Linked DNA regions of Pelodiscus sinensis. The protein of the gene in region 3 purifies or fractionates together with the protein of the main gene of each other region. This does not show direct contact. Links are inferred from orthologs where the notes say so. Each region holds a gene or a part of one and is shown on either strand. Other genes may lie near its edges.

What was found.
Region 1: the proteins of RHOU (region 3) and PAK1 purify together in Homo sapiens (co-immunoprecipitation; 5 studies listed by BioGRID and IntAct, with this or other methods). This does not show direct contact. The link is inferred for Pelodiscus sinensis from reciprocal best matches to the Homo sapiens genes RHOU and PAK1.
Region 2: the proteins of RHOU (region 3) and NCK2 purify together in Homo sapiens (co-immunoprecipitation; 3 studies listed by BioGRID and IntAct, with this or other methods). This does not show direct contact. The link is inferred for Pelodiscus sinensis from reciprocal best matches to the Homo sapiens genes RHOU and NCK2.

What each region holds. Positions count from the first base shown.
Region 1 is NC_134711.1:317,034,594-317,042,666, forward strand, and holds the start of PAK1 (serine/threonine-protein kinase PAK 1), read left to right. Parts: upstream 1-5,021; 5' UTR 5,022-5,293; intron 5,294-8,073. UniProt on the Homo sapiens protein: Protein kinase involved in intracellular signaling pathways downstream of integrins and receptor-type kinases that plays an important role in cytoskeleton dynamics, in cell adhesion, migration, proliferation, apoptosis, mitosis, and in vesicle-mediated transport processes.
Region 2 is NC_134711.1:233,632,508-233,639,873, forward strand, and holds the start of NCK2 (cytoplasmic protein NCK2), read left to right. Parts: upstream 1-4,316; 5' UTR 4,317-4,541; intron 4,542-4,590; exon of another isoform or gene 4,591-4,670; intron 4,671-7,366. UniProt on the Homo sapiens protein: Adapter protein which associates with tyrosine-phosphorylated growth factor receptors or their cellular substrates. Maintains low levels of EIF2S1 phosphorylation by promoting its dephosphorylation by PP1.
Region 3 is NC_134713.1:123,851,265-123,859,024, forward strand, and holds the start of RHOU (rho-related GTP-binding protein RhoU), read right to left. Parts: upstream 3,010-7,760; 5' UTR 2,366-3,009; coding exon 2,080-2,365; intron 598-2,079; coding exon 539-597; intron 1-538. UniProt on the Homo sapiens protein: Binds to and activates protein kinase PAK1. Plays a role in the regulation of cell morphology, cytoskeletal organization and focal adhesion assembly during cell migration. Also stimulates quiescent cells to reenter the cell cycle.

The DNA.
Region 1 (8,073 bases), on a different chromosome or scaffold from region 3:
CACCGAGGCCGGCAGTCAGCCCGTTCTCGGCCCCCAGGGCCCCCGGGACAGTCACCACAGCTGGCAGTCGGTCAGCCCCTTCTCCGACGACAACCGAACCCCGCCGCGCCGGTCCCGGAGGGAGCGGACCCAGCCAAGAGAGCTTTCCCTGGAGACTTCGCCCAGATGACCCAGGACCCGAGCCGCCTAACCAGGGTAGGCCCTGGGGGTTGGGGCTGTGACCCCAGGGGAGGAAGGAGCCCGGGGTGGGGCGCTTTTGGTGACCGTGGGTGGACGGGTTATGGAGGGAGTGACCCCCTGTCCACCGCGCCGGGGTGCAAACAAGCCCCGACGCCTAGGGCTGGGACCCAGAGAGAGGGTGGGACCGGTCCCCCTCCCTCTCCTGAAGGAGCGTCCTGCTCCTAGAAACTTTACTGAATGCAAGACTGCGAATTGGGACCCCGTGCCGGGGAGAACTTAGACTGTGGGCTCAAGCCCCATCCCGCAGGGACGAGTGACAATTTCCGGGTTCGCTGACCCCCCCCCTCCATCCGGGAGGGGGTGATCACACCCAAGGGCCCGGGCCCATAGCGGGGACCCGGGGTACGACAAAGGACGAGAAGAGGACGAAGGGGTCCGCAGAACCCCCCTCTTGTACTGGGAGGGGGTGATCGCACCCCTCACCCCTCACCCGTGGTGGAGAATGTGGGTATCGACCCCCTGAGTTGGCACTCGAGTTAAGGGGTGTTTTTTGCCTAGGGAAAGGAAAACGAGCACCAGAACAATGGATCCACAACAGCTGTTGGACTGGGTGGGGGAAACCCAGCACCAGCAGCAGCAGCAGCGGGCCCAGATGCTCCAGCAACTGGCAACCCAATTTCAGGACCAGCAGCAGCTGCTGGTCCAAGAGTTGGCCACTCAACATGAGAAATGGATATGGATACAGGGGGCCCACCCGCCCGGAGTGGCAGGGGGGCCCGTGTGGCAGGGCGAGGAGGGCGAACGCAACCTGGGCTCTCTCCCCCTGCGCTTGACCAAGACGGGGCCGGGGGATGACCCCGAAGCCTATCTGACGACTTTTGAACGGGTGGCCACTGCCGCGAGATGGCCAGAGGACCACTGGGCCACTTTGTTGGCTCCTTAGTGACCCAGGATGTGCTGCAGTATGTGAAAGTAAAAGAAGCCATTCTGGATCAGCTAGGGATCACCAGTGACACGTATCGCCAGTGTTTTCAGTGCGAACGATTCAAACTCGGGGAGCGGCCTCGGGCCTTTGCACAGTGGCTGCGCGAATGGGCTTGGCGCTGGCTAGAGCCTGAGCAGCGCTCCAGCACGGAAACGGTGATTCTGGAGCAGTACGTGCACCTTCTCCCCCAGGAAGCCCAGAAGTGGGTCCGGAGGCACCAGCCAGGTTGAGGGAGGCACCAGCCAGGCCCTCACCGAAGCCCATATGAACGCAGAGGGAGGTGAGATAGGGGAGCGGCGGGAGTCAATACCCGGCCCCTCCCCGCGGGAGGCACCGCAGGCACGAGGTGGCGGACCAAGCCCGCCCAAAGACCCCCCCCAGGCCGGCCTTTCGGGGGGGGGCGACGGTTGGCCCCAATATGGCCAGGCAAGCCGGGAGACACCCAGGAGAGAGCAAGGAAGGGGACGGAAGAGAAGTCGGGCGAAAGCCATAGGATGGGGAGTTGGAATGCCTGCTATCAATGCAGGCAGGATGGGCATTTCAAACGTGACTGTCCTCTAATGGATTGCACCTTAAGCCTAATGACCCCGGGGGGAACCCCGCCGGAACAATCGCGGCCGACAGTAACCATCTGGCTCGGCCTGAAGCCCCTGAAAGCCCTCGTGGACTCTGGCTCTGCTCTTACTTTAGTACGCGAGGACCTGGTTCGAGATGCCCCGGCGACCGGAGAGACTGCTTGGATGAAATGCGTGCATGGGGATGGGAGAGCCTACCCCATGGTGTGGGTCCACCTCGCCGACGGCCAGATGGCAAAGGTCTGGCAGGTGGGGAAAGCGCCCGCGTTACCATGCCCGATAGTGATGGGGAGAGATTGGCCCGGGTTTGCAAGACTGCTACGTAGAGGTGCGGACCCGCCGCGGGAGCAGATGCGCGTGACGGAGGGCTACATCCATCCCCGGACCCTCGGAGAGCCGGACGTGGGCAGGGGGACGCCGGTGGCGGGCCTCCCGGAGGACAGGCTGGCCGATGCTCCGGACTTCCTGGAAGAACAATGGGGAGATGAAACCTTGCAGTACGCTTGGGAGCAAGCAGAGGGCCCCGCAGAGACCGACGGGAACCGTCAGGGACCCCTCTTCCAGGTAATAGGGGATCGGCTGTACCGTCTGGTAGGGGCTGGGGAAGGGGAAGAAAAGCAGAGACAGTTAGTGGTGCTGCAGGGCCGGCGGAGGGAGGTCCTGGACCTGGCACACACGAACCCCTGGTCCGGGCATCTGGGAAGGGAAAAGACATTGGCCCGTGTCCTGCAGCGATTTTATTGGCCGGGGGTCTACAGGGTGGTGCGGGACTTTTGTGCCTCTTGCCCCAACTGCCAGAAGGTCTCCTCGGGCAGGGTACCGGTGGCCCCCTTGGTACTCCTCCCGGTTGTGGGCATCCCCTTTGAGAGGATAGCCTTAGCTTTGGTAGGGCCCCTGGAACCGTCTCGGATGGGGTACTGGTTCATCCTAGTTGTCATTGACTATGCCACTAGGTACCCTGAGGCAGTACCGCTTCACAATACCAAGGCACCGACCCTAGCTTCCGAGCTGCTCAAAATCTTTGCGAGGGTGGGATTCCCCCAGGCCATTTTAACGGACCAGGGGACAAACGTGACCTCACGACTGATGAAAGAACTGTGCGCACTGCTACGGATAAAGACCTTGCGAACGTCCGTGTACCACCACCAGTCGGACGGGTTAGTGGAGCGCTTCAACCGCACTTTAAAGGAAATGCTCAGGTGGGTGGTGCAAGAAGGACCACGGGACTGGGATCAGATGCTACCAGCCCTCTTGTTTGCTATCCGGGAAGTGCCCCAAGCCTCCACGGAGTTCTCCCCGTTTGAACTATTGTACGGGTGCTAGCCTAGGGGGATTTTAGACATTCTAAGGGAGGAGTGGGAGGCGCAGACCACCCGGTGTCAAGGCACGGTGCAGTACATCCTGCAACTCCGAGAGAGGTTGCGGCGGGTGGGGGCCTATGCCAAATTAAACCTTTTGAGGGCCCAGATGAGACAGGCTCATTATTACAACCGAACGGCCGTGACTCGCCCGTTCAGGCCAGGGGACCGAGTGTTGTTGCTCTTACCCACCCAGGAGTCTAAGCTCCTCGCGGAATGGCAGGGCCCCTACGAGGTGATCCGCAAGGTCGGAGATGTAGATTATAAGATACGGCTCTCGCGGAAGCGTAGGGATACACAGGTTTTCCATGTTAACCTCTTTAAGAAGTGGGTGGCTAGGGAAGGACTCCTGGCAGCACCCGTGGACCGGGAGGAGGATCTTGGCCCATCCCGGGAAGAGTGTACAGAGGAAGACTCACTGTCCATAGGACCCGAACTTACCGAAGAACAGCGACAACAAATGGAACATCTCCTACACCGGTTCCGTCATGTCCTTACCGCAACCCCGGGAACGGCGAAGGTAGGAGTACATTGTATACGTACTGAGCCAGAGCGGGTAGTGTGGGAAGCCCATAGACCCCTCCCCAGGAAGGTATGGGAAACCGTCCGGCAAGAAGTACAAGCAATGAAGCAGTGGGGAATGATCGAGGAATCACAAAGCGAGTGGAGGAGCCCAATAGTGCTGGTCCCCAAAAGTGACGGGAGCGTGCGGTTCTGCATTGACTTCTGGAGGGTCAACAGCATCTCGCAGTTTGACGCATACCTCATGCCAAGGGTGGAGGAATTATTAGAATGTCTGGGGCGGGCTAAATACATATCCACCCTGGACCTGTCGAAAGGATATTGGCAGATCTCGTTGGACCCGCAAGATAGGAAGAAAACCGCGTTTGCGACCCCGTTCGGCCTCTTCCAGTTTCGGCGAATGCCTTTCGGCTTACATGGAGCAGCGGCGACCTTCCAGCGGGTTAATCTAGGCTCCAATTTTAAGACAGCCTGACTTTGAGAGACCATTTCTTTTATGCACAGACGCATCCGAATGCGGACTAGGGGCGGTGCTGGCTCAGGAGTATGACGGGGAAGAACATCCAGTCCTTTACCTGAGCCGGAAACTCCTACCCCGAGAAACGAACTACGTGATGGTCAAGAAAGAGGCGTTGGCCGTGAAATGGGCCATAGAAACCCTAAGGTACTATTTGTGGGGAAATAAATTCAAACTGGTTACGGACCATGCTCCTTTAGTTTGGTTAAACTCCATGAAAAATTCTAATCCCCGCCTTACGCGGTGGTATATGTCGCTGCAACCCTACCAGTTCAAGGTAGAATACCGGGCACGGGCAAAACACCAGAACGCGGACTTTTTCTCGCGGGTGTTTGACCCAGGCGGGGAAGGGGGAAACCCCACTGTAAGGGGGGGAGGGTGTGTGACGGGCTGTCACTGGCCTGGGGGGAGGATGGCCAGAGCCGCCGCCTGCAGGGAGACGGGGGCCAGCCCCAAACTCTCTGGTGCGGTCCCGGCGCAAGCCGGGGGAGCCGGCGGGTCCGCGCACTGCCACCGCGCCTGCACCAGCAGGGGAGCATTGGCCCCTCCCTGGGGGTATGTCTACACTACAGCACTAATTCAAACTAACTTAATTCGAATTAGTTAATTTGAACTAAGCTAATTCAAACTAGTGCATCTAGAACTAAAAACTAGTTCGAATTAGCGTTGGCCAGGGAATGCCTCGCTCCTGATGCCATTTAGCAGTTCCCTAATCCCAGCCGCCTCTACCTCTTTCCCAAATGACATCACCCTGTTTGCTTCACACTCACATCTTCCTGTCTCCCTCCCTCCCTCCCAATCCCCATCAACCCAGCTCGCACGGGGGAGTGGAGAGGTTTGCCGGACACTCCCAGCCGCCAATGGGAGAGGAGCCCCGCGGAGGGCGGGGAAAAGCCAATGGGAGATGGGAGAGAGGCCGGGAGCTGCTGCCGGCGCTGAGCTAGGTGCTGCCGCTGACAATAGGGGAGGCGGTGGCGTGCTCGAGGAGGAGCAGTGGGCGTGCGTGGGGCAAGCCTGCTGGGCTGGCTGCGGAGAGAGTCTCGCCGCGAGGAGGACCGAGGAAGGGAGCCAGGGGGGGAGTGGGCAGGGGAGAAAGAGGAAGCGAAAGCAGCTGCAGCCGCAGGGCGAGAGAAGGGAATCCCTGTGCTGCCAGGAGGTGAGTGCTGGGCGCATGTGAGCGGGGGCAGCTCTCGCCTCCTGCCTTGCCGGGCACTTTGTATCTTGGCTTCCCCCGCGGCTGTCCGGGCAGGGGGAGCTCTGAGAGCGACCCTCGTTCATTGCCACGCTGCGCCGGTAGCTCTGCGCGGGCAAGTTTTTAACCAGGGCGCAGCGCAAGCGGAGTCCCTTGAAGTTTCCCTGGGAGGCAGGGTTGGCGACAGCAGGGCTCCGAGCTAAGCCGCGTGGCTGGAGTTTGGGAGACCCAGCTAGCCAAGGGAGCGGGGGTGGGCGACTCCTTCTGCCCTGCCCTCTCTTGCACAGGACGCTCATTCATTTAACAAAGGCGGCTGCCGTCTGCCCCAGACCCCCTTAGCTTGAGCCAGTGTGAACCGAAGGATTGTGTCTGGGGGGGTGGTGGTGGGTGTGACCCAAACTGGCCCCTCAGCCTTTCCTGGCTCTGTTGGGATCCATTGACTAGCAAGAACTGGGGTTCACCTCTTGTTTTCTCAGCGCTGCTAGTAGAGAGACCTGGGCAGCGGCGCCCGGATTTGTATATTAACGAGGGGACCCGAAGAGGCAGTTGTGGGGTTCGGCGTTGGGCTTTTTTTTGGTCTAATGAACTGAAACAGTGGGGGTGTCTGGGGCTGGCAGAAGCTTCAGCGCTGAATTGATCGTGTACTCAGTGAGCAGAGACCCCACAGAGCACGTCCCGATTCGGAGCGCACGTCTGGCTTTTGATGGGGTTAGTGAGCAGCGTGGGGAGGAGGGAGTATGGCTTTTTGGTGAGGATCAGAGATCCTTAGGCTGGCGTAGCACGTCTAGCGAGCGAGTTGTCTGTCTAGGGACACCAGTGGGGTGGCTGGGGAATGGAGATGGATTCTCCCCTCCCGGCTTCGTATGTCTAGGCGGCGGCAGGAGCGGAGTGTGCGTGTGCTGGGAAAATGCAGAGTGCAGCTCCTCTGTGTCTTTTTTTCTTCTTCTTCGTGGTGATCGGCGAGAACGCGGGCAGGAGAACTGAACTTTTTGAATCCGATGAAGTGAAAATTCAGGGCGCGTGGGCGTGCCTCAGTGGGTGGCTTTCTTGGAGGCTGCTCTGGGGAGCCAGCCGCAGAGGGTTCTTCTGGAGGAATTGCTTTTAGCTCATTCTGTAACTCTATAAAGGCTGCAATGTGGAATTGCTTAGATTCAGAAAGCTTCATAGACCTACCCGATGTCCCCTAGTTTTCAGAGAGGTCAGTTTCAGCAAAAACCAGTCCTGTGGCACTTTAAAAACTAATACATTATGCCCTAATAAATTTGTTAGTCTTTAAGGTGCCACAGGACTTCATGATGTTTGCTGTGATTCTGGCTACTTTCCTCTTTGCAGAGGCTTGAAAAATCACAGTGCTGTGTGAGGTATCTGGATGCCACAGAACATTTGCTCCCACAGGCAATTACTCAGTCTTTATTCATCCCCAGTCTTGCTCCAGAAAGAGTTTCTCCTGAGGAGAAAGACAGAAGAAAGCCAGTTAAAAAGCCTCTGAATTTGACTTGATATTTGGGAAACATCATCTACTCTAAGCCATGAAAATGACGTTTAAATGTTCTTGTTAGCAATATGTACATTAGTAATATGTGGTAATAATTGTGAGGACTGCATTGGTAAACTGCTTAAGCCTTACCCAAACAAAAGCAGTGCCGGTTCTGTGACTAGGCAGGATCTCCTAGAGTGGGGTATGTTTCTAAAAGACTTTCAGCAAATCAGGGAACAGAAGGAAGAAGGTCTGTCCTTTCCATTGGGAAGTAGAGAGTAATCCCAGTATTTAACTGCTGTGTCTAGTGATTGCATTTTTTTTCATATCTTGCCAGCTTCCTGATGAGTTAGGCTTTCTCTTACAAGGTCTCCAGTGCCCTCAATCCTTCAGGAACCTCAGCAGCAGTTGCGGGTACTTGTCACTTTTCAGGCTCAAGGAAGGTCTAAAATTGCTAAATTGGTACAACTGCACCACTGTAGAGTATCTGGTGAAGAGGCTCTGAGGATGGGAGAATAGTGATAGAAATGTAGCCATGTTAGTCTGGGGTAGCTGAAGCAAAATGCAGGACAATGTAGCACTTTAAAGACTAACAAGATGGTTTATTAGATGATGAGCTTTCGTGGGCCAGACCCACTTCCTCAGATCAAATAGTGGAAGAGGATGGGAGAGTGTCTTCTGCTGACATAGTGTTGTAACCCACATATCTTCTGGGTGTGGTTCGCTGTCCCATGTAGTGGCATTAAGACCACTTACAGAGAGAGAATAAGTTTCCTTATTGGCTTTTAGCTCAAGCTGTAGAGGCTCATGCAGTAAGCTCCAGAGGTTCCAGGTTTGGTTCTGCCTGTCACCCTTGTAATAGCACTTGTGTAGACAGTGCTTAGGTCACTATACTTGCATCATTCAGGGGAGTGTGTGTGTGTGTGTTTTCACAATTCTGAGTAAAATAGGTTAGACAGACTTGCCTAGCAATGTAGATCTGCCATCAGAAAGGCTTTGGTGCAGTCCTTCTTGTGTCCAGTCCACTGAACAGTTGAGTTGACTCCTGTAGGAGTTATTTATATAGAGGGGACAGCCAGAATACAGGAAGATGCTAATGCTGCTATTCCATTATTTCTTGAGTTTCTTTAAAGATTAGTTACTTTTCTTTCATACTTTGATCCAGACTTTGGCGTGTTGTGTGCGCGCGTGCGTGTGTGCAACGTAACAGAAATGTATCAATTAAGGGGTGACGAGCAGGTGGATAACTGTCATACCTGAATTCTGC
Region 2 (7,366 bases), on a different chromosome or scaffold from region 3:
AGATCAGATCCCAAATCATAACTTTGTGAAACAAATCTTGTAGGCTGAAATTTTCCATGGTTTTTCTTTTGTCCAAAGATGAGTATCAGAGGGGTAGCCTGAATCTGCATAAACAATGAGGAGTTTGGCACCTTATAGACTAACAGATTTATTGGAGCATAATCTTTGTGAGCAAAGACCCACTTTGTCAGATGCATGTAGTGGAAATTCCAGAGACAGGTATAAATATACAGGCACATGAAAAGAAGGGAGAACCAATCAAGAGGAAGGCCAGAGATAACGAGGTTAATTCAGTCATGGAGGATGTGGCCCACTTCTAGCAGATGATGTGGAGGTGTGAAAATCAAGAGAGGAGAAACTGCCTTTGCAGTTGGCTAGTGGCCATTCACAGTCATTGTTTAATGCTAAATTGATAGTGTCAAATTTGCAAATGAATTGAAGCTCTGCAGTTTCTCTTTGAAGTCTGTTTTTGAAAGTTGTTCTTGTTGCTGCAGGATGGCTACTTTTAAATCTGCTACTGTGTGTCCAGGGAGACTGAAGTGTTCTCCTACAGGTTTTTGTAGGTTACCATTCCTGACATCTGGTTGGTGTCCATTTATTCTTTACATATGGCAGAGGGGCATTGCTGGCACATAATAGCATATATTACATTGGTAGATATGCAGGTGAATGAGCCCGTGATGGTGTGGCTGATGTGGTTAGGTCCTGTGATGGTGTAGATATGTGGGCAGAGTTGATACCGAGATTTGTTGCAGGCGAAACAAAGATGGTGATTTTTAAAATTTTATTTTTAGTTCGTTGAAAATTCCTTTTATGGGGTGCGATGCATTTTTCATGGCTCTGAATTTGGTTGGGTCCCACCCATAATTCAGACATGTTTATTTCATAAGATTAGAACTCTGGGATCTCAGCTTCCAATCATAGTGTGACCATTATTGATGAATGTTACCAACTTTCATGATTTTGCCATGAGTTTCATAATTATTTTTCTTAAAGCCCCAGCTCCTACAGTCAAGTGGATAAGTGATGATTTTAGCCTTCATTCTTAAAGAAAAAGTAGGTTTCTAGCCTTTGTGGCTGTGGAGAAAGCTTCAAAACATGAGAGTCTCAAAAGCAGAAGGTAAATAAAAACACCAAATCTGTGTTTTTACTTTATCTCATTATTTCAGAACATTTGAGATTGGCAATACTATGAGCGCTGCCACGCCCTTATGTACTTATGGTGCACACGTTGCCAGATAAGGCCAAAAAAATCTTGCGTACTAGGAGCTAGGTATAATTTGAAAAGGTAAAAGAAAGATGCAGTTCCTTAACTTCCCTTCCGTCTCTTGCTGGCCCACCTCTAACACTGGAATTTGTCCATCTCCCTTCTATCCCTCAATGCTGAGCTGTACAAGAGAAAAAAGGAGCTGAATTAACTGTGTATGTGCAACCAGAGCAATGATACCCTGGAATCTGAGTGCTATTTAATGGGGAGAAGGCACATACATTTCAACATCCCAAGCTCCAAATATTGTGGGATTCCTGGAATCACTTCAGTTTCAGAATTCTTTAATTCTGATTCAAATAATTTTCAGTAGTGAAAGTGAGGAAAGACCAAATCTGTGTACAACATACATAACTTTAGGACAAAAACGAGTGAGGATCATTCAAAATGAGGGGATGAGGCAGGGGAGAGAGGGGGGAAGAACACAACAGTATCAGTCCCTCTTACCTAGCCCAGAAACCCCCACCTAGCAACATCAGTGGCCTAACTCACAGCACCCAGAATTATCAGCCCCCATCCACCTGCCTACCTGCCCTACAAGATTCCACCAGCAGCTCCAACGTCCTACCCGGTTAGCACTTATCCCCACAAAATAGCTCCCTGTTATTCCTGCGTAATGATTTCCTAGTATTTTGAAAATTGGGACCCCAAAAGGTTGAAAACCACTGTTTCAGGCCATGCTGCCTCTTATATAACAAGGAGTTCAGTTCTGCCCCCTTTGATATCAGTAAGGAAACACCCAGGCTGTGTCTACACTGGCATGATTTTGTGCAAATACTTTTAACGGAAAAGTTTTTCCGTTAAAAGTATTTGCGGAAGAGAGCATCTATACTGGCATGTGCCTTTGCGCAAAAGAATCCGTGCCAGTGTAGATGCTCTCTTGCGTAAGAAAGCTCCGATGGCCATTTTAGCCATCGGGCTTTCTTGTGCAAGAAATTGATGTTACCTGTCTACACTGGCCTCTTGTGCAAGAGGACTTATTCCTGAGCTGGAGCGTCAAGAGTATTTGAGCAAGAAGCACTGATTTCATACAGTAGAACATCAGTGTTCTTGAGCAAATACTCACGGCCAGTGTAGACAGGCGGCAAGAATTTGCACAAAAGTCAAAATCTTGCCAATGTAGACACAGCCCCATTGACTTCTTTTAATGGAGAACTTGCTGATAGTAATTAACTTTTAAAAATGATGATTTGAGCATAGGCAGTAGAAATGTTCATGATATACACACATTTAAGATTTGACCTAAATTTTAAATTATCTTAAGTATTTATAAAACATAGACCAACAACAGTTAGTTTTTCCACATTTAAAAGTTTATAATATTGTTTAAAAACATTGTCCAAATATATCTGAAACCCTAACACTGCTTTGCTAAGAACATTAAAGTGAAAATTACTCTAAAGCAGAAAGAAACTAATAGTGCTAGTGATGTGTGCAAAGGCATTTATTTCATTACAAGATGTATAATTAAGCATCAAACAATTAAGAACTAAATCCTGGCAATGCCTTTACCTAAGTTGAATGTCACTGACTTCAATGGGGCTGAGCAAGAGCCTGTCACTGAACCTACAATCAGCACATGCATTGACAAAGTGGTTACTTGACTAATTTAAGATGTATCTGGCATGAGGATTTCTACTTGGCACACTTTACTGAGGTAGAGATGCAATCATAACAGGACAGATGTGTGTCAATTACACTGGTATGTCTTTTGTGGAGATATCCGTGATTTCAGAAGTATTTGGGTTTTGCACGTTTTGTTTTTGGAAGGGAGAAGAGGAGAACCTAGGAAAAGTAAACTGAAAAATCTGTTAACAAAATATAAAAGTTAAATGTTTACAATAGCAAAAACAGCCAGGGAATGCAAAATGTATGGTTCTCATGGGAAGTGGCAATGCTGATTTTCTCATACTACATATGAAAAGTATTACTTTACTGTAGCATCCCAACATAATCCAAAATAATAGATATGTATTAGGGACATAAAGATTATGATGACTAAACTTAAGCATTTCCTACTGTTGTGCTCTTAAAGTCACAACTGTGTTATGGCAGTAACGATGGCGTTTTGCCTTTAACTTCTTGCACAGAGGCACGGCTCCCCTTACCTTTCTACGAGGAAGCTCTCTGAGCTGGTATATTCCCTCCACTCCAGCTTTCAGGAGGCAGAGCTTCTGCAAGTGACCTCACCGCACTGACCAATCCGCTCGATTAGACGCTTGTGATGCTATTCCTGAAAGTTCCCTTCCCTAGGGTGGCACTTCGGGGAATAACATTGAATGCTTTCTATTTTTAGAGGGCAGGCGAAGCGCTTTGTCCCCGGCCCCGCCAGCTAACCCCAAGTCAGCGGGCCGAGAATGAGGGGGAAACATTTGCAGTTCAGCGGGAGAAATGGCTGAGCCCCTTCCGAGCGTCTCCCTGACAAAGAGGATGCGTTAGGCAGAGTCCCTTGCCAAGGACGCCTTAGGCACACATCACGCTGCAAACTCTGTAGCGCAGCTCGACTCAAAAGGAGAGCGCGGGTGGGTGGAGGGGCGGCTTTGTGCGGCTCCATCTTTTCTCTCGTGCACACCGGCTCTCCCACTTGCTCCAGGTCCGTGGCACTCAGTTTACAGACTAGAGCGAGCTGCGGGGGGCTCCCCTCAAGCCGGCACACGCAGCGCGGGCTCGGCGAGCTTGCCCCCCCCCACCCCCACGCCTGGGGCAGCGCTCGCCCGGCGCTCAGGTGTGCGGGGCCCGATCCTGGCCGTCCTGCCGCTGGAGCGGCTTCGCTTTTAGGCGCGGGCCCGGACCCACTTCCCCCTCCCCGAACTTTGCGGGCCGGGGAGGGAGCCGCCCCTCTGCGGAGCGAGCCCGGCTCCCGGCCGGAGCAAAGGGGGGGGGGAGTCCGGGGGCCCGCCCCTCCGGGCCGAGGCAGGAAGGGAAGGGAAGGGGAGGGGTGTGTGTGGCGGGGGGAGGGGCCGTCGCTGCCGCCGCCGCCGCCGGGCTGAGCAGAGGCAGGAGCGCCGGGGCCTTGGGCACGTCCGGCCGGCCCGCGGGAGGAGGGAGGAAGAGGAAGGGGGGGGGGGGACGCGGCCCCTCACGAGGACGCAGCAGCCAGAATCCGCCGGGGAGGGGGCAGCGCGCGCGCCAACCGCCGCCGAGACAAAGAGCGGAGCCCGCCTGGGAGCCCCCCCCTCAGCCGCCGCCGCTGCCATTGCTGCTCCGCTCCCGCCCCTCGGCCGGAGCGCGCCGGGCCCCCGCCCCGCCACGAGCCAGCGCCGCCCGGCCCGAGGTGAGAGCGGGGCCGGGATCCGCCGCAAACTTGTGGCGGCCGCTGCCGGGGAGTTGGGCGGCCCCGGGGGGCGCTGCCGGGCCTAGCGCCTCCCCCCCCCCCGCCGCGTACCGGGCCTGCAGCCCCGGGGTGAGTAGGGCGGGGCCGAGCGCGGGGCCCGCAGGAGGCGGCGGGGCGGGGGCTTGGCTGCCACGTTCGGGCGCCGGGGCCGCGGGGAGGCCGGGGCTGCGAAGGAGCCGCACGAGCTTCCTTGTCCTGGCCCGAGTGTTGCTGACAGCGGGCGCTGCTGGGTAGCACGGTCCGTGCGGGGCAGAGCCGGGCGGCGGCGTCTCTAGCCCGGCTCTGGGATTCCGCCGGGCTGACGCCGGAGGCGAGCTGCTTCTAACGTGGCTTAAATTAAGTGCCGCTCAGGTTTCCCTGTGTAGCGCGGAGCCCGACTGCCAAAAGGGCAGAAAGCAGTGCTCAGCTAGGACGTACATGATAATCCTGTCAATAAAGTAACCCAGGAGATATTTTGTATGAGTGTAATAGTCAGTTTGCTCAGCCAAAACTGATTATTTGCATTTATATTTTTAATGACTTAATCATCGTCAAATTACTAGGAATGTGGGCTAGCCTAGGTCAAGTAGCACCAAGTCCTTAATTCATCTTAAATATTAAAGTTTATATTTTAATGGAAAGTTGATATTCTGTAAAGTTTTCAGAAGAGTTTAATATGGCTTTTGAAATGTGACGGGTATTAATATACAAAAAAATGGCATCTTTAATGTGTTTACTAGGTATGGAACTTAGGTTTTGTACATAGTTTTTATACATGTTTACAACATGTTCAGAGAATATTAGACCCTTTGCAACTGCTTAATAAGTCAAACCCAGCACCTGACACAGTTAAAACAAAAAAGCCAACACAGGCTTCAAATGCTAAAACATAGGAATATTCTGATGTTTGCATTTGCATATAGAACTAAAACGGTGTTTTGTAGTAACTGTGTTACCTGTAATGCTATTAAAATCAGTATGTTGTAGTAGGCTGATACTTCACATTGATGATGGTAGCCCCACTAATCCTCAGTAATATTAACTAAAATAACACAGTACTTAAGGCTGTACCATATATATAGTTTTGTTCTTTGAGTAGTTGACAGGCACTGGAGGAATGACAAATAGTACATAATTTAAATATTTGACTCTAGATTAATAAAATACAAACCTACAGATAGACTTCTGTGAGACTTTGGCACTGTGGTTCATTGACATAGATCCTGTTGCAGGGTTATGGAATAGGTTAAAATTGCAACTTCGATTAATTTTCTGAGCCCATGTAATGTAATTTGTATGTATTGCACTGTAAAAAGCTGTATATATTGAGATTAAGTTGTGAACTAAATACTGAATTTCACTTAAAATTGTTCTGTGGTGGTATAAAATTTGAGCCCCCTCTGCATTTTTTGTTTAATTTTGCTCTTTGTGTATCTGGATTCCATTTCTGTTCCCGCCTTCTTATTTGGGCTGGAGTGGTGTCTCTGAAGGACATACTATTGCTGTAGCAGCTTTACGTACATTAGAAAATCAGGCCTTTACAGAACCGGGGTGTTGTAACACCATATGGGCAGGTCAGCTCTGCCACAGTTGGCTTTTGTTCTCCAGAATTTTGTCCAGTATCTTAAAATGGAGGAAAAATCTAAGTTTTTAAGTGCGTACCAGATGGGAGATTCTTAAAAAGGATCCCTTTTAAGGATCTCTTTCCCCAGCCATAGAGCTTTTCAGCGCCTGGTATGACAAAGCACTGACTCAGATGATTTAACTAGGGTCAGTTCTGCTTTGAGCAGGGGATTGGGCTAGATGACCTCCTGAGGTCTCTTCCCAGAGGAAATCAGAATCATAGATTAGGGTTGGAAGTGTCATTACCCTAGTGTCATTACCCTGCTGTCTGCTGCAACTGATCTTAAGCAACCTTAGGCTGTCATCACTGTTTAGGCAGTACGATGCCAATACTCTTATATTTCGATTATAGACATAACTAACTACAAAATAAGATTTATGTAACTTAGTGAATTTAGTGCTTCTGAAAGATCTTTTTAGAATTCTGAAAACTGAAATCTGTCTGACCTAAGCAGTTGTATTTCGTTTTGTTATCCCATCAGTATGTCTGAACGATAGGGTATTTCAGTCTTCATAACCATTCCTTGTTTATTTTGCTGAGACTTTTAACAAGGAGGTCAGTTGTGCCGAACATGTTTGTGAGTAGGAGTTGAGATTGGAGACACTCTTGCCTACCAACATCAATACTAAAATTTGCAAATAATTCTGTCCATGACAGTGAACAGTCTTCAGATGGTAAACATTTGGACACTGCATCTTTCTGCTGTATTTGGATCATTTACCTAGGGGTGAAAAGCATATTCCAGTTTCTTGAGCTATGTAATGAGCTTCCAAATCTTCTTCCCCTTGCTGTCCTGCAAAAGAAACACAACAATTATAATTAGTCATCTACCTTCAGCATGGTTCCTTATATTGACCTCTGAGTAGTAGGTGTCTGATAAATTAGAAACTCTAGCATCTCGCAGGCTGTTGTAACATAGGGAACTTACTATCTATTTCTATTTTTTCCCCCTTGAAAGTCTCCTGGTAGCTATGTGTAATTGAGTGAGGAAAGGTCCACATCACTTTACACTTTTGCCAGCACCTCCTGGCTGCTGCAAGGGGAGAGATTAGGACAAAGAGGTCTGCCATTCTCTACTTTGCTATAATTTTGTCTTACTGCAGTCTCTTTCTCCTTTGATAACTGTTGTGTATTCCTTTGCCGATTCTAAGGCTTTCCTCAG
Region 3 (7,760 bases):
AGGGAGCATCTTAATAATGGAAGCACTGAACTGTTTACAACCAGAGCTCATTTAGCTCATCTTAGTAACAAGTAAAGAAATGTAAATGTGGTACAAAACTACTGGTGAAATGGATATTCAACAGGGTTGGTTTTTTTTTTTTTTAATTTCCAGCCCTCTCAATAGTTACCCACAACCCTGTGCATGCCTTTGTATCTGTGCTCAATACACACATAATCTTCCCTCCACTCTCCTAGCAGCAGCACTTTTAAACCTAGAGATAATTTTAAAAAATAAAATTGTCAGCAGCAACAGGTCTGAGAGAGAACATACAGTGTCTGGGAGTTCAATCATACAGGGAAATTAACAGGGAAGCAGTCTGAACCCACAGCTAACCTTATACAGTGGAGCTAAGAATTACTTACTCTGATGGCAATTTAATAAGATGATCAAACAATGGGTATGCTTTAAAATCCATAAAGTCTTTAGTGGGACTGTTTTGCATGACACTTTGCCCTTCCCCCCTTGTCACTTAAATGTAATAAGAAGCTTCACTGACCTGACCAGCTGTGTCACAGAGCTGAAGTCTCACGGGTCTGCCATCAACAGACACAACAGCTAAGGAGAGAAGGAAGGAGAAAAGTTGAATGAGTTTGGCGTTACACATTTTTTAATTAAAAAAAAAGAAATATGCCTTTCCTTAACATTTGTTTTTCCTTCAATTAATTTAGATTTAATAACACGAAGAACTGGAACTAAGTCTGTCACTAACATTTAGGCTCATTACAAACCCTTCGGGGCTTTCCAATTCATTTCACTGCAGTTGATGAAGTAGCAAATCACTGAACTAAAGCTCTTTGATGACACAAAAAGAGTGATCCAAACAATTAGGTTACTTCTCCTGCGACAGAGGGATTTGTTCTCTTGTCATGTTTGTGTTTTCAAAGCTCTGAGTCAAAAAAAAAAAATCTTCCCAGTTTTAAATCACTAGGAAGACAATGCAAATATTTGTGTTTTCCCTTGGGAGCTTGACTATAGAATTTATCATTAAAAACAAGTTATCTTGATATGTAACAATGTGCTCACTGGCTATGGTGGTACCTTTTATAAGAGAGATCAGCCTTATTATTTCTTTCTTGCTATTTAAATATAAAACACTTATAACCATCCTGTAGGTTTCATTTATTGTTTTGGTTACTAGGCTTCACAGCATTAATTTTCGATAATACAGAAAAGTCATGCCGTCCAACCATTTTTGCAGCATTGAGAATGACTGCATTACCTTTATAGCTAGGCCTATTAGCCATTCCTCAGACATAAAATTCACCCAGAAGTGGATCATTTGGATCAGCCCGCTAAAGACTTAAAAAAAAAACCCAGTAGGAAGCTGGACACCCAGATTTGTGTCTGGAAGCTGAAAGTCTTGGGCCCAGATGACCTCACCACACTTTAAGAGTAGAGAGACTAGAGAGCCATTCATGTAACACCCTCTTGTGGCCCTACAGTCCGTCCCATCGATCTCTGCAGTCACCTTCCAACACAATTCAGAACAAAAAGAGGGAAGGAGATCAAGGATTTACTTCCTCCGTCCCCCCTCCCTGCCCCAACTAAAGGAGACAGGGTTGTGACACGCGGATATTCCCAACCTGACCTAAACGACCATCCTTAAACAAGTAAAGTCCTGTGCTGGCAGGCTGAACAGAGCTGTAAAATCTGGGCAGTGCACAAGCACAGAGCAGGAAAAGCAAGAGCCGCTGTATACTATTGGGTCAACACACATTCATCCTTGGGAAGAAGGGGCGATGGGTGGTAATGATGTTTCCAGGTGGGGAAGCCTTTCTCCTGCACTGTGGCTGCTCCCTTTCCTGCCTCCGGGGAGGGAGGGGGTCCCTTTTTCACTGGTGGCAGGTCATTTCACCCCTCCCTTAGGAAAATCCATGCAGCTCCCCCTAGAGAGGGGCGTATGGGGGTAGCCCCCTTCCCTCTGACAGTTCATCTCCAGGAGGTGGATGAGCGATCCCCAGGGGAATGCCCCCCTTCCACCCGCCCCACGCTCGGCTCCCCACCTTCTCCCCCTGCGGCGGCCCCCGAGCCCCTTACCCGAGAAGTTGTCGAAGGCGGTGGGGATGTACTCCGTGGGGTACCCATTCGTGGTGTAACTCACCACCAGGCTGGTCTTGCCCACAGCCCCGTCCCCCACCAGGACACACTTGATGCTGCGGCGCGGCTCGGCTCCCGCCCCGGCCCGGCATCGGCTGCCCAGGGCCGCTCCCAGCGCCGCCGCTCGGCTGCTGCGGACCCTGCGCGGGGGCACCGGGGGCACCTCGCAGCCGCCAGCCAGCGGCTTGCTGATGTAGCCCGCCTCCCCCTCCTGCTGCGGCGGCATCCGCCTGGCACCGGCGAGGGAGAGCCCTGCGAAGCGGGATCGGCGCCACTGGGCTAGGGCGAGAGGAGCTCCACGCCCAGCCGAGGGACCCGGGTGCCCGGCTTCTTCACCGCCCCCGGCGCGCAGCTCCTCCGGCTCCACACCCTCCCGCCAGCAGCCGGTGCGGGACGCCCGGGGCAGCCCCTACTCCGAGCCAGCGCCGTGCCCCGGACCCGCCGCTCAGCTCGCCCGGACAAGCGGCTCAAGAGCAGCCAGCTGCAGAGACTGGATGGCAGGGGCGCGAGGCCGGCCTTCCCGGGCGGCGACAGCAGCGGGAGCCCTGTGCACGCTGCACTCGCCTCGCCGCACACTGAGGTGCCTCCAGCCCCGGCTCTCCGCCTCCCCAGCACAGGCAGGCAGCCGGCGGCGAGGGGAGGAGCCCGGCGCTGGGGGGGCCGCGCTACAGGCAGCGCTACAGCGCTCCCTGCCGCCCCGAGCCCGCCCGCCCACCGCGCCGGCCACTGGAGCAGGAGCCCGCAGGCGGCAACTACAGCAGGAGCCGCTGCGGGGACCTGAGGCCGGTACAGCGGCTGTGCCGCTTCTCATTGGCCACTTCGCTTCCCCTTTGAACGCTGAAACAATCTGCGCCGCGGCCATTGGCTGGAAGCGGCCACCTGGCCGCCTGCTCTGCCCCAGGCTGTTCCGTCCGTCCCGGCTCCTTCCCTGCCGCTTGACCGTAATCCGCTTCCTCCTCCCTCCCCGGAGCCTTGCCCCTCTCCCCCATTCCTGCCTCGCTCTCTGCTCTCCTCCCGCTTCCATCTCTCTACTCTGGGTGGCCAGTCCAGGCCTCTTTCCACAGTCTGTCTTCTGCTGTCTATTCCTTCTCCCCCCCCCCCCCCCGTCTCCCCTTCCCTCTATCAGCTTCCCTCCCACTGACTATATTTTCTCCTCATTCCACGCTGTCCCCTTCTTCCCACCCCTACGGCTCAGCTGTAATTTTTGTAAAGCTGTCTAATCCTGTCAAAGCTCTGCCTGCCTCACCGAGGGGAACAAAGTTTCCGGAGTTAATTTATCAGTATTAATGAGACACATGAGAAGAGATTTATCTGAGCACAGCTAAAGGCTACATAAAAGGAACCATGTTATTTGATTTCTCCATTCCTGCTTCTCTGCCTCTCTGGTAATATTTAGGGCAATGTCAAAAACAGAGTTAATGCAAGTTTTTTTTTAAACTGGAAGTTCTCTTCATTGTGTTGGCACTTTGTGCATTTACAATACAAGAGCATGGGAATAATGACTACTTGATATGCTTCCACCTGTGAAAGAAATAAACTGGGACATTTGAGTTTTAACACCTTTAAAACAGTGACACCAAATCACAGGCTCCCCCTGTTGTTACAACATGATTTTTAAAGGGCTGATCCCTGTCTACGCAGGGCACCGAGTGAGGTTTCAAGTCACTGTAGCTAACTCACATTTTAGCACCATTTTTTTGAACATAGACAAACATTTGGCTACTATTTCAGGCCAACAGAAGAAAAGATCACAGAAGCAGAGGTGTGCTCTGTTTTATACTACCCTATCTCCATTTCATCTGAGCATCTTCCAATAGTATATTAAGTGACACCTGTGGTGCTGAAATGACCTGGGTGAGGGCACGGGTGACACTTATTAGATGACCCTGTTTTAACTCCCATGACAAATGCAAAGTTCTGTCCCATACCAGTTCATGAGATATCAACTGTAAGCAAAATCTCCTGTATATGGGAAACAAGATGCTGGCTGATATATTCCCAGAGTGGGAAAACGGATGACAACAGCTATTTTACTTGCGCTGAAAATAATTAAAGATTAATGTAAAATCACAGAAAATACTGTCTACTGCAAGTAAAAATGACATGGCTCCATTTTTAAATACCAACAGCAAACAAAGATGGCCTATTTACTGAGCTAAAGGATCCAGATAGACAACCATAATTGCTTGTATTGTTCCTGTGCTTTAGAGCAGGGGCTATGTAAATTCATAGCTGCATGGTTGCATTATATTGTGATGTGCCCTGTTGAATACAGTGGAGCCTTTTGTTAAAAGGGATGATCAAGCTGATTGTTGTGCAGTGGGGGAGTACTGGTTAAATAATTTGCATCTTGATAGCAAATCAAAGACTGTCAGTGCTAGCAGTTACAGTAGGGCTAAAGGGACATTAATGTCTAGTCTAGGATTTGTTCAGGACTATATAAATAGTTTGATTCATGAAACTGAAACTTCTGTGCTACAGCAATTGAATTACAAATACTTCAAAAGTATTACAGTCTAGCTTTAAAAATATTGGTCTGTGCTGTGCGCAGGCTTACATCCTCTTCAATCAGTAGAGTTGCACTCTGTACCAGGGCTGAATTTGGCCCATTATCAGTTGGTATGAAGGAAAGCATTCACCCTATCTTATGCCCTTGCACTAGTCAAATATTATTCTTTGAGAAAATGGCAAGAGAGGAAATTATTTCATCAAGACATGAAATAGGCCATTGTTATTTCCAAGCTTATCACTTTCCCTGAGACATTGAAATATGAGCTCCATGTTGGCCTTGTAGAACAAAAGATTATTTCCCCCCACAGAAGTTTTACAGCTGAAAATGAGAGAGACAAGGGAAAGAGAACAACACTCCACTGATATGCTATGGTACACAGTCTCCTGTTTTAATGAAGAGGCTGATTTGGGAAGCTTTCACCCAAATCCTGTTCGTGAGAGAGAGAGAGAGAGAGAGAGAGAGAAGGCACTTGCTGTGTTGAAAAAACCCATCTCCAGCCCAGCTACTTTTACAAAGGACATGGCATTTGTGGCCATGCTCAGCTGCACCAGCCTATGTGGCAGGCTATGAATGGGAGAGCAGAAGAAAGCAACAAGAGATGCAAAGCTGTTTGGGCAAGGAGAGGACATAAAGGATGGGGTGTTACTTGGGGCTGACGAGGGCACAGATATAAAGGGACTCTCTTGCAGTCCTTATTTTCCATACTTCTGTGTGCTGTGGTAATATAGAAGTACAAAGCGTCACTGCTGTTATTATTTATTTTGAATTATTATTTGAAGTAATGAAGAACCATGAAAAGATATACATAATAATATTCTCTAAAAAGCATGATGTTAAACTGGAGTTAAGATGAGAATACATTAGCGGTAACTTAAAAGTAAAAAGTTTCACATGCATGATGAAATTATCCTAAAAACAAGCATTGCAAAGCTAGGAAACTCAAAGTTAATCAAGGTATCCAAACAACCTAAAAACTTACTATCCACTTCAATTCAACTGATGAAGTCAGTTTTGCCCACAGAAGCTTATGAATCTGCGTATTTTGGTTAGTCTCTAAGGGCACATCTACACAGCAGGGCTGAACTCAAAATAAGCTACGCAACTTGAACTAAGCTAATTGCGTAGCTTAAGTCAAAATAGCTTATTTCGACTTTTGGCACTGTCTATACAGCAGTTATTTTGAGATAGAGCACTCTTCCCCCAACTTCCCTTACTTCTCGTAAATTGAGGGTTACAGGAGTCAGAGTATGAAGTCCTCCAGCTCAACATTATTTCGACAGTATGTCAAAAAAACTGCCTGTTGTGTAAAAGTAGACTATGTTATTTTGGAATAACATCAGTTATTCCAAAATAACTCTGTAGATGTAGCCTAAGGTGCCACAGGACTACTTGTTTTTAAATTTATAGATTAACACAGCTACCCTGAAGAGATATCCTAACAATCCAAGTAATTCCATGTGGAAAACCATCATGGAAAAAACTGATCTCATGTTTAAAAAAAAAAATCAGTTTCCTCTTGTCTGGAACCACAAATACTAAGAATTCAGAGCTACCAAATGTCATGTAACTCGTGTGTCATGCACATTATTGGCAGCTCTGTATATCTGCGGTGCCGCTCCCACCCCCCACTCCTGTATCTCTCTGGGCCACAAGATGGGACCAAAATGGTCCTTTAGGATGAAACTCAGCTGGCAGCTAGGGGTTGTCATGAATCTTGGCATATGGTGGCCTGTCCTCTGGCTGCTCCCCCTGCTGCTGGATCTGAGCAGGGCAGAAGCAGCTGGCATTGGCGGCAGCACCAGGTGGCCAGTTGACTGGCTGGGGACAGAAAGTGAGGAGCTCAGTAATGACTAACGCAAGTGTGAAAAATCGAGACACTTTTTTTTCCTGGAGCGGAATGAGAAGGAGTTTATAGTTGCCAGATGGACAAGGCCCCTAATATTAGGATTGTCACCTTAGTACTCACCAACAATAATTTTGTTCAAACCATGTTAATGGCATGGGTTTAACTGAACTCCAGAACAACAGTAATTACATGTATCGGGGGTAGCTGTGTTAGTTTGAATCTGCAAAAACAACAAGAAGTCCTGTGGCACCTTATAGACTAACAGATTTATTGGAGCATAAGTTTTTGTGGGCAAAAACCCACTTTGTCAGATGCATCTGACAAAGTGGGTCTTTGCCCATGAAAGCTTATGCTCCAATAAATCTGTTAGTCTATAAGGTGCCACAGGACTTCTAGTAATTACATGATGTCACATCATATAATTTGGTGCTACATAAGCTCTGGTTGCTGCAGGCCACCAGTAATATATTAAACTTCCATTTCATTTTGTTAATATTTCATAAGGTTCAACTCAACTTAGTATTATATTTCTGTCTGTGGGTTCCTACATGCTACATATTTGCTGGGCAAACATGTGGAGAAACAATAAATAGCAGTGTGAACGAAGAAATAAATCAACTCAACTGGAGAGGGTTTTTTTGAGATGAGAAATGATTGGGGAAAATGTATTTGGTACCGGTGCGGCATGTTATTGGAGAAAATGGGAATCCCAGATGAGAAGCTCACAGAGGAATGGTATGTTCATTTGGATGTAAATCTCTGGGGAAGCAAAATTCAGAATAACTGAAGATAAAAACAGGAATGATGTATGTTCCATGTTGGTGACTCACCACCAGACTCTGCTGATGAGTTTAGGAACCCCTGCTCGTTTCTTGACACCCCAGGTACCTGGCCCCCTCCTCAATCCTACTAGAACAATAATAAAATTCCCAATACACACTCTTAGCTGTTGCATTCTTTCCACTAGTTGATTGTTACAATGGAGGTAAAGGAAAGAGCAGAGGCCCTGTAGCCAGACACAAAAACCCCATCTTGTTTTTCCACGAGCCCCATCTTGTTTTTCCCCCCCAGAGAGCAAGAGAAAGGCAGTCAGCCTTTGATGCCCTGGGAACGCAGGTGTGGTGCCTGTCCCTGACTCTACCATAAACAGAAACCAGACAGTAAATGGGCTAGCTGACGACTGGGAGGCCTCCCGTCGCCGTGATGGCTAGTATCAGTAATTGACACGCCTGCACTGTCTCGGGAGAGGAATCTTCGCCCATC